Linked DNA regions of Callithrix jacchus. The protein of the gene in region 2 interacts with the protein of the main gene of each other region in a pairwise test. Links are inferred from orthologs where the notes say so. Each region holds a gene or a part of one and is shown on either strand. Other genes may lie near its edges. The genes, in order: MIF4GD and EIF3G.

What was found.
Region 1: the proteins of EIF3G (region 2) and MIF4GD interact in binary tests that used the Homo sapiens proteins (3 or more experiments, as listed by UniProt). The link is inferred for Callithrix jacchus from reciprocal best matches to the Homo sapiens genes EIF3G and MIF4GD.

The regions. Positions count from the first base shown.
Region 1 is NC_133506.1:131,187,879-131,192,167, forward strand, and holds the start of MIF4GD (MIF4G domain-containing protein), read right to left. Parts: upstream 2,886-4,289; 5' UTR 2,837-2,885; exon of another isoform or gene 2,586-2,836; intron 1,939-2,585; 5' UTR 1,889-1,938; coding exon 1,807-1,888; intron 1,203-1,806; coding exon 1,077-1,202; intron 1-1,076. UniProt on the Homo sapiens protein: Functions in replication-dependent translation of histone mRNAs which differ from other eukaryotic mRNAs in that they do not end with a poly-A tail but a stem-loop. May participate in circularizing those mRNAs specifically enhancing their translation.
Region 2 is NC_133523.1:9,307,689-9,312,004, reverse strand, and holds the start of EIF3G (eukaryotic translation initiation factor 3 subunit G), read left to right. Parts: upstream 1-1,474; 5' UTR 1,475-1,517; coding exon 1,518-1,537; intron 1,538-1,676; coding exon 1,677-1,723; intron 1,724-2,215; coding exon 2,216-2,299; intron 2,300-2,407; coding exon 2,408-2,496; intron 2,497-2,637; coding exon 2,638-2,697; intron 2,698-4,030; coding exon 4,031-4,135; intron 4,136-4,232; coding exon 4,233-4,316. UniProt on the Homo sapiens protein: RNA-binding component of the eukaryotic translation initiation factor 3 (eIF-3) complex, which is required for several steps in the initiation of protein synthesis.

The DNA.
Region 1 (4,289 bases), on a different chromosome or scaffold from region 2:
ATATTTATAGGAGAGCATTCTCATCTGCTTGAAGTGAAAGATCAGAAATCATACCAAGGACAGTGGCTCCAGTGGTGCAATCGGTTAGCGCATGGTACTTAGAAATCATGGCCAGGTGCGATGACTCACAACTGTAATTCTAGCAATTTTGGGAGACTGAGGTGGGTGGATTACCTGAGGTCAGGAGTTTGATACCAGCCTGGCTGACATGGTGAAACCCCATCTCTACTAAAACTACAAAAATTAGCTGGGCATGGTGGCTTGTGCCTGTCATCTCATGTTATCCCAGCTATTCAGGAGGCTGGGGCAGGAGAATTGCTTGAACCCAGGAGTCGGAGGTTGCAGTGATCCAAGATGGCACCACTGCACTCCAGCCTTGGCAACAAAGCAAGACACCGTCTCGGGAAAAAAAAAAAAAAAAAAGGAATTTCATACAGAGAGCCAGCATTTTGAAACCTGGCCAACATTTTGAAACCCCGTCTCTACAAAAATACAAAAAGTTGGCTGGGCACGGTGGCTCACGCCTATAATCCCAACACTTTGGGAGGCTGAGGCGGGTGGATCACAAGGTCAGGAGTTCAAGATCAGCCTGGCCAATATGGGCCAGGCATGGTGGCAAGGGCCTGTGTCCCAGCTACTTGGGAGGCTGAGGCAGGAGAATCACTTAAACCTGGGAGGCAGAGGTTGCAGGGAGTTGAGATCGTGCTACTGCACTCCAGCCTGGGCAACAAGGGCGAAACTGTCTCAAAAAAAAAAATCATATAGAAGACAGTAACCTTACAAATGAACAGCTTTAGCTGTCTGTCTTCTGGTTGCCCAGTCAGAGAAAATGAGGAGGGTATGTGGCTGGAAGGGACCAATCAAAATAAGAATATCGTTTTTCAGGAAATGCATCTTTTCCTGGCACTAGGCTGAGGAAGGAATACTGACCAGGACACGTCTCCAACAGCAATTTCACAAGAAAAAGTGTTCTTATACTATACATACACGAATCCCCAACTAGAGAGGGCCACACAGGGCCTCCCAACAGGCTCGGCTTGGCACTTGATGGGTCTTGCTAATTGTTGAAGACAAACTTCTGTCCTGAGTGTTACAGCAGGAAGGCATCGGGCCAGGGGAATAACTATACCTCCTCTGGCAAATGGAATATTCTCCATCTTCTGTCTCAAAGCAGGCAGCTGTGCATTCAAGAGAGGGGGCTACTGCAATGCAGAAACAGCCAATTCAAATGTAAGCGCTTCAAGGGTAGGAGCTGTGTTCTTTTTTTATGGTTGAACTTTTAAAAATTTGAGACAGGGTCTCGCTCTGTTAGCCAGGCTGGAGTGCAGTGGCAGGCTCATGGAACCTATACCCTCACCCTCCCAGGCTCAATCAGTCCTCCTACCTCAGCATCTTAAGTATCTGGGACCACAGGTATGTGCCACCATGCCGGCCTCATTTTTCAATTTTTTTTTTTTGTAGAGGTGGGGTTTGCCCCATGTTTCCCAGACTGCTCTTGAACTACTGGACTCAAGCAATCCACCCACGTTGGCCTTCCAAAGTGCTGGAACTACAGGCATGAGCCACTGCGCCTGGCCCTATGGTTAAGCTTTTTAAAAAGTCTTTACAGTCTGAAAGGTGACTGTGACTCATACTCCAGAATAACGACCTAAAATGTAGCTTGTCTTCCAGTTCAACAATTACACTGCCGACTCCTATCATCACAGAATGATGGAGGCATTCACCAGGCTCAGCCCTCTGGTGCTGCCCACAGGGGCCCTTCTCTGTGGCTCCTGATCCCAGCTCAGGAGGGGCTCCCGTGCTCACCTTTGAGTGCTGTCTTCAGCAGCTGCTGGGTCTCTGCATCAAAGGACTGGATTTTATACTCCTCTCTACTGGGCTCCCCCATGACCTGCCAGCCCTGGTAGCTCTTGACCGGGCTGGGACTAAGGACAGCACCTGGGGAGAAGAGGCGAAGGGAACGACCTCAGGTGTGGAGCACAGGGAGGGTTCTGTCCTACAGGCCCTGGGCAGGGCTGACGATGCTCGGGACAGGGGCTCTGTGCAGTCCGTGGCGTGCAATGGTTGTGGTTGGTTGAGGGCCCACCAGGCTTGGCTTCTGGCGGGGACTGGGCATCAGCCAGGTACCTGCTGCTCAGTTTAGAAACTCCACGCTTGTGGGATTACACAAGAGCGAGAAGCTGAAGCAGAAAAGCGCCCACCCTCTAGTCCCAGCAGGAGGCAGGGGTGGACTGGGGCAGGGTGTGTGCGGGCGGACGTTAGAGTTGCTTAAAGACACCGGCCTGACGCTGCTGGCCCGGCATGATGCCGGGTGAGGGTCAGGCTGGGAACTCCAAGCGGCGCGGCTCTGTCCCCAGCAGGGCTCCAAACCTCTCTCTCCAACCCTCTCTTCCCGGCTTTCGCCGAGTCCTTCGGTCTAAACACCCGCTGCTGCATCTCCCGGGTGGGGCCGGCCTGCGCGGATGGGGACAGGTTGCCCTGTCCGCCGCCTCGGCCAGGCGCAGCCTGAACTCCCCGACCCTGCCAGCTTCTCCCCGGGACAGACTGGTCGGACCGGCCCCAAAGTGGCGGCAACCAGGCCCTACCCACTCGAGACTCCTAATTCCTGAGCTCCATTCTGGATCCTTCCTCTTACGGGGGTTGGGGGCACAGGATGATGCGCCCTCGAGAGGTGGCTCCCGCCGGAGGCTCCCCTCTGGCCATAGGAGGCGCCGTCGGGGTCTCCAGCCCTCCCCACGAGCCCGGAACTCCCCTCCCGGCGGCACAGGGCGGACTGCGGACCTCAAGGTCCAGAGTCCCTGCAGGCTGGAGAGGCGGCGTGGGCAGCTGGACCCACCTGCCGGACCGGCGGCGCGCGCGCGCGTGCCCGGGGCCGCCTATCGGCTGAAAGCGCGCGACTCGCGTCAGGCGCTGCGGGGGCCGCCGTGATCTCATCTCCTCGCGCGGCGCCGGGGAAGGGCCGGCTCGTCCGCGCCACCTGCCGGCCCCCGGTGGCACTGCTCTGGCCGCCCGGCCGCCCCGGAAGCCGAGTCGCCCGCGTGGGGCCCCGGCGGAGACGCGGGGGACCCTGCGACGCTGCCACCCCCAGCCAGGTGGAGCTCGCTGGGTCCGTACCCTCCTCACCCGGTGCGCCCCGGCCCTGCCCGGGCCCACGCCGGACCCGCCAGCTCCTCAGTCTTGCGCGTGGCCCCGCACCCAGCCCTCCCCGAGCTCAGGTGCACGGGGGTGAGGCGGCGGGAGACACCGCTGGGCCGCGCGGCGTGGAAGAAGCCTGCAGACAGTGTGGTGGGGACCCGGTGGCAGGAGAGACGGTATCTGCCCTGGTCACACCACGTTTCCCGCTCCTCCAAACCAGGTAGAGAAGGCAGGGGCTGCAGGGCCGGGGCCAGCCACGACCCCCTCCCTCTCCAAGGAGGACGTGGGCGTAGCGAGTTGCAGGTCAGAGGGGCAGCCCCGAGAAGGGGGCCCCGTGGGCAACTCGCGGCCGTCGGGTGTTGGGAGTGCCCCTGAAGGGGCGCGTCTGCTCTGGGTGACAGGAGGGCACCTAGAAGGCGGGAAGAACTGCCGCCGCTCCTGCCGCGGGACTGGGAGAAGCGCCGCCGGCGCTGCCCGCGTTGCGGCCTCCAGTTAAAAGAACCGCCAAAGTGGTCACCGAAAACGGACGAGGAGAAGAATGCTCAGCTGCAGCAAAAGAAACTAATGGCCAGGAGAAAGGAAGATAATAAACTTAACGGAATTTCATAAAAAATACATTCCGGCCTGGTACAGCGGCTTACACCTGTAATCCCAGCACTTTGGGAGGCCGAGGTGGGCAGATCACCTGAGGTTGAGACCAACCTGACCAACATGGAGAAACCCCATCTCTACTAAAAATATAAAAAAAGTGGCCGAGCATGGTAGCACATGCCTGTAATCCCAGCTACTCAGGAGACTGAGGCCGGAGAATCGCTTGAACCCGGGAGGCGGAGGTTTTGGTGAGCCGAGATTGCGCCATTACACTCCAGCTTGGGCAACAAGAGCGAGACTCTGTATCAAAAATAAAGATAAAAAATACATTCAGGCAGCTGCATCCCCGCGGACTCCACCACAGCCTGGACCTTGGGAACCAGCAGCACAGAGCCAAGAAGCCCCAGCATTCAGGGCCCAGACAGACCCAAAAATCCCAGACCAGAGGCAGGGAAGGATGGTGCTAAAAGGAGCCCAGGACCCACACCAGACACAGGGCTGGAGAGGGAGGCAGAATGGAGAGCTCCCCCCAGGTGAAAGCAACCCCACAGGCCAGGCAGGTG
Region 2 (4,316 bases):
TAAGAGATCTGCCCACTTTGGCCTCTCAAAGTGCTGGGATTACAGCTGTGAGCCACTGAGCCCCACATTGTCAGTTTTTTTTTTTGTTGTTGTTCATTATCAGCCTCCTTAGGAGAAAACCCAAATTATTCTAAAATTGAATTTAAATCAACCAAGTTAGTTTCAGTTTAATTAGTTACTATCTCCCTAAAGGCAGAAACTAAATACTTAGGAATAAGATGGGGCCAGGCGTGGTGGCTCACGCCTGTAATCCAAGCACTTTGGAGGCCAAGTTGGGCGGATCACCTGAGGTTGGGAGTTCACGACCAGCCTGACCAACATGGTGAAACCCCGTCTTGAAAAAAAAAAAAAAAAAAAGAATAAGATGTTGTCTGATAGAGCTGGCTTTGGAAGACCACAATATCTTAGTTTTTTTCCCCCTCGCTGAAAACCAGTTTTTGCTCCTGGGGAGTCATCATGAATCACTCCAGCTGAGGATGGTTGTTCTTAGAGCAAGGAGCTGAGCAATAAGCAAGTAAATGCACAAAATTATACCGGAAAGCCAAGAACACTACAACGAAAAGGAGGAGGAGTGGCTCATCGGGCCCCTTGACATCTGAATCTGTGGGATTGGGAAAGAAGGCAAGGAACAGTTTGCAGAAGGACTGTTTTCCCTGAGCCTCGGCTTTTTGTTTTTGTTTTTGTTTTTTCTTTCTTTTTCTTTTTTAGAGATGGTGGTGGGTGTGTGTCGGGGTGGTGGTGGTGGGGTTCTCACCCTGTTGCCCAGGCTAGCTACTCTCGAACTCCTGGCCTCAAGCAACCCCCATGCCTCAGTCTCAAAGTGCGGGGTTACAGGCGTGTGACACCTCACCCAGTCTCAGCCTCAGTTTCTTGAGCTGTAAAATTGCAATAATATCCTCCTCACCCTGCTTCATATACAATAAGCACTCGATCAGTGAACCTTGTTGTTATTATATCATTTTCTTTAACTTATTTTTCTGAGATGGAGTCTCACTCTGTAGCCCAGACTGGAATGCAGTGACGCGGTCTCGCCTCACTGCGGCCTCTGCCTCCCGGTTTAAGCGATTGTCCCGCCTCAGCCTCCGGAGTAGCTGGGACTACGAGTGCATGCTACCACACCCGGTTAATTTTTGTAGTTTTACTAGAAACGGGGTTTCACCATGTTGGCCAGGATGGTCTCGATCTCCTGACCTCGTGATCTGTCCGTCTCGGCCTCCCAAAGTGCTGGGATTACAGGCTTCAGCCACCGCGCCCGGCTTATTTTGGTTTTTAAAGGGTAGTAGGAGCAGCAGTGAAATCAGCCTCTACGCCCCCACCGCCCTTCCGCGCTCCCTGCTCTGGTACCAGCAGCTCCCAGCAGCATACACAGCCGCGTGCGCCTCCACCTCCGTCCGCAGGTGTCGCTGTGGATGCCGCGGCCGGCCCCACTAGGCGGTGTCCGCGGAACCGGAAGTCTCCTTTTACACCCACTTCCGCTCTCTAGCCCGGGCTTGGGCTGCGTGGAGAGCCCTTTTGCGATGCCTACTGGAGATTTTGAGTGAGTTGGGGATCACGGAAGCGGGTACGGGAGGCGGTTACAGGGCTCTGGGAAGTATTATGGGGCCTGGGTGCGCCGAGGCCGCGGGGGCTTGGCCTGGCTGACTTAATCTTAGCTCCCCACACACTTGTTTCCGCAGTTCGAAGCCCAGCTGGGCCGACCAGGTGGAAGAGGAGGGAGAGGACGGTAAGTGAATCCGTTTGCCCCAGGTCATCGCGGCCAGGCCCGAGCCGGTTCACTGCTGCCTGTTTCCATCTCCCAGACTGGCACCGTGTTCGCCGTCACGGCCAGCCCCTGCCCCGCGCCTTCATCCTTGGGGCTCGCCTGTTGCCAACTCCAGATGTTCCTTGGCAGGTCCCTCTTCCTCCCATGCCATTGCGCTAGCCCTCCCAGCTGTTCCCTTACTCCAGGGAGACAATTGTAATCTCCTGTCTCCTGTTTCTCTCTGGCGCCTGGATGGCTTCATGGCGTGGCCCCCACCTTCCTACGAGGGATTCCCCCATCCTGGCCACTCCGCGTCCCCACAGGGCCATCCCAGTGTACTACCTGGCCAGTCCTCTGCCCTTGGCCTGCCTTTCTCAGCTTTTGCTGTAGGCGTCATCCCAAAGGCCCTTCCATCTCAGCTGGGGAGCTCCTGCCCCTGGAGCTGACCCCTTCTCCCCACGCTGCTTCTCGCAGACAAATGTGTCACCAGCGAGCTCCTCAAAGGGATCCCTCTGGCCACCGGCGACACCAGCCCAGAGCCGGAGCTGCTGCCGGGAGGTGAGTGAGGACTGCCACTCCGTTCCGGGCTGCCTCTCCCTCCAGCCGTGCCGCTCCTGATGCCCGTGACCCAGGGCTCAGTTTCTTGCTCTTTTTCCCCTTCTCCAGCTCCACTGCCGCCTCCCAAGGAGGTCATCAACGGAAACATAAAGACAGTGACGGAGTACAAGATAGATGAGGATGGCAAGAAGTTCAAGGTGAGGGTGGGAGGGGGCAAGGAGTGAGGACCCTTTTCCTTGGGGACCCTGAGACCAGAAGAGGTTGGGGTGTGTTGAGTGGGTTGATAAAGGAGCTCCTTTGGTTCCAGGAGCCTGACCCTTCTCCTCTCCCATCCTCAGATTGTCCGCACCTTCAGGATTGAGACCCGGAAGGCTTCAAAGGCTGTCGCAAGGAGGAAGGTGAGATCCTCCTTCCCCAGGGATAACACAGAGGAATTGGAAAACTGTGTTCCCTGGACCTTTGTTTTTAAGAGATGGGACTTAACTCTGTACCTGTTGTGAGTCTGAACTGAGCCTTGGGTTCTTGTATTCTTATGGGGTCTTGAAAAGTTCAGGGCACAGGAGTTGATGATGATGCACAGTAAAAATGTTCAATGATGGGCAGGGGTGCAGTGAAAGTAGCCATGTGTGGTGGTGTGCACCTATAATCCCAGCTACGGGGCAGGCTAAGGCAGAAGAATTGCTTGAATCTGGGAGACGGAGGTTGCAGTTAGCTGAGGTTGCACCATTGCACTCCAGCCTGGGTGACAGAGTGAGACTGCATCTCACCAAAAAAAAAAAAAAAGTTTGATGATAAATATCGAATGATAGTAATATCAAATAAATTAGATTAAAAATATTGTAAGTTAGATTCTTTTATTTTTTTTTTAAAGACACAGGGTCCAGTCCTGTTGCCCAGTCTTGAGGGCAGTGGCACAGTCAGAGCTTACTGCAGCCTTACACTCCCAGGTTCAAGCCATCCTCCCACCTCACCCTGCTGAGTAGCTGGGGTTACAGGTGTGCACCGCCACACCGGGCTAATTTTAAGTTTTTGTAGAGGTAAGGTTTCTCTATGTTGATCAGGCTGGTCTCCAGTTCCTGGGCTCAAGAGCTTCCACCTTCACCTCGCAAAGTGCTGGGATTACAGGAGGGAGCCCCTGCGACCAGCTGTGGTTAGATTTTTTATTCCTCTTAGCCTGTCAATGGAGGAATGGAGCCAGAAGGTGGTCACAGCAGTTTCTGGAAGAAGTGATATCAATTAATACACTTGGGACAGTTTGCTGTGCGCTTAGTTTGTACCATACCTCATGCCAGCCACCTGGCAGGGTGTTTCTCATTTGATGTCCTTAGAAGCCCAGGGAGGTAGGAAGCTTTTGTGGTTCCTGTTTTACAAGGGAGGAAGCCAAGGCTCAGGCTGGGTAGCTCAAAGGCCTGGAGGTCTGGGTGGAGCCCCTTCACATCCCTGAATATTGAACCCTAGTGGGAGCTTGTCCGCCAACATGAACAGGCCCCAGGCTGTGTAGCTCTCACCTGGGGCCCAATGCTGACAGCTGCCCTGCCTCCTGGAGCTCAGGCCTGGCGGGGACTCAGGCAATAGGAACTGTCAACAGAACTGTTCAGGGAGTGGTTGAGGAGGATGAAAATGAGGTTCAAGGCCCAGACACTCCGGGGAAGGCTGTAGGTCCGGGACACCCCACTGTGGAACCCTGCCTGCCCCTGCCCTCAATTGTCCCCCATTCCTCCCTGAGCCCAGAACTGGAAGAAGTTTGGAAACTCAGAGTTTGACCCCCCAGGGCCCAATGTGGCCACCACCACTGTCAGTGACGATGTCTCTATGACGTTCATCACCAGCAAGGAGGTAAGCAGGGCAACCAGACTGGGCTGGGGTCCTGGGGTGGTGGCAAATGGGGTGCCTCAGCCACCTCTTTGAATTCCCCCAAACCTGCCCCTGCCAGGACCTGAACTGCCAGGAGGAGGAGGACCCCATGAACAAACTCAAGGGGCAGAAGATCGTGTCCTGCCGCATCTGCAAGGGCGAC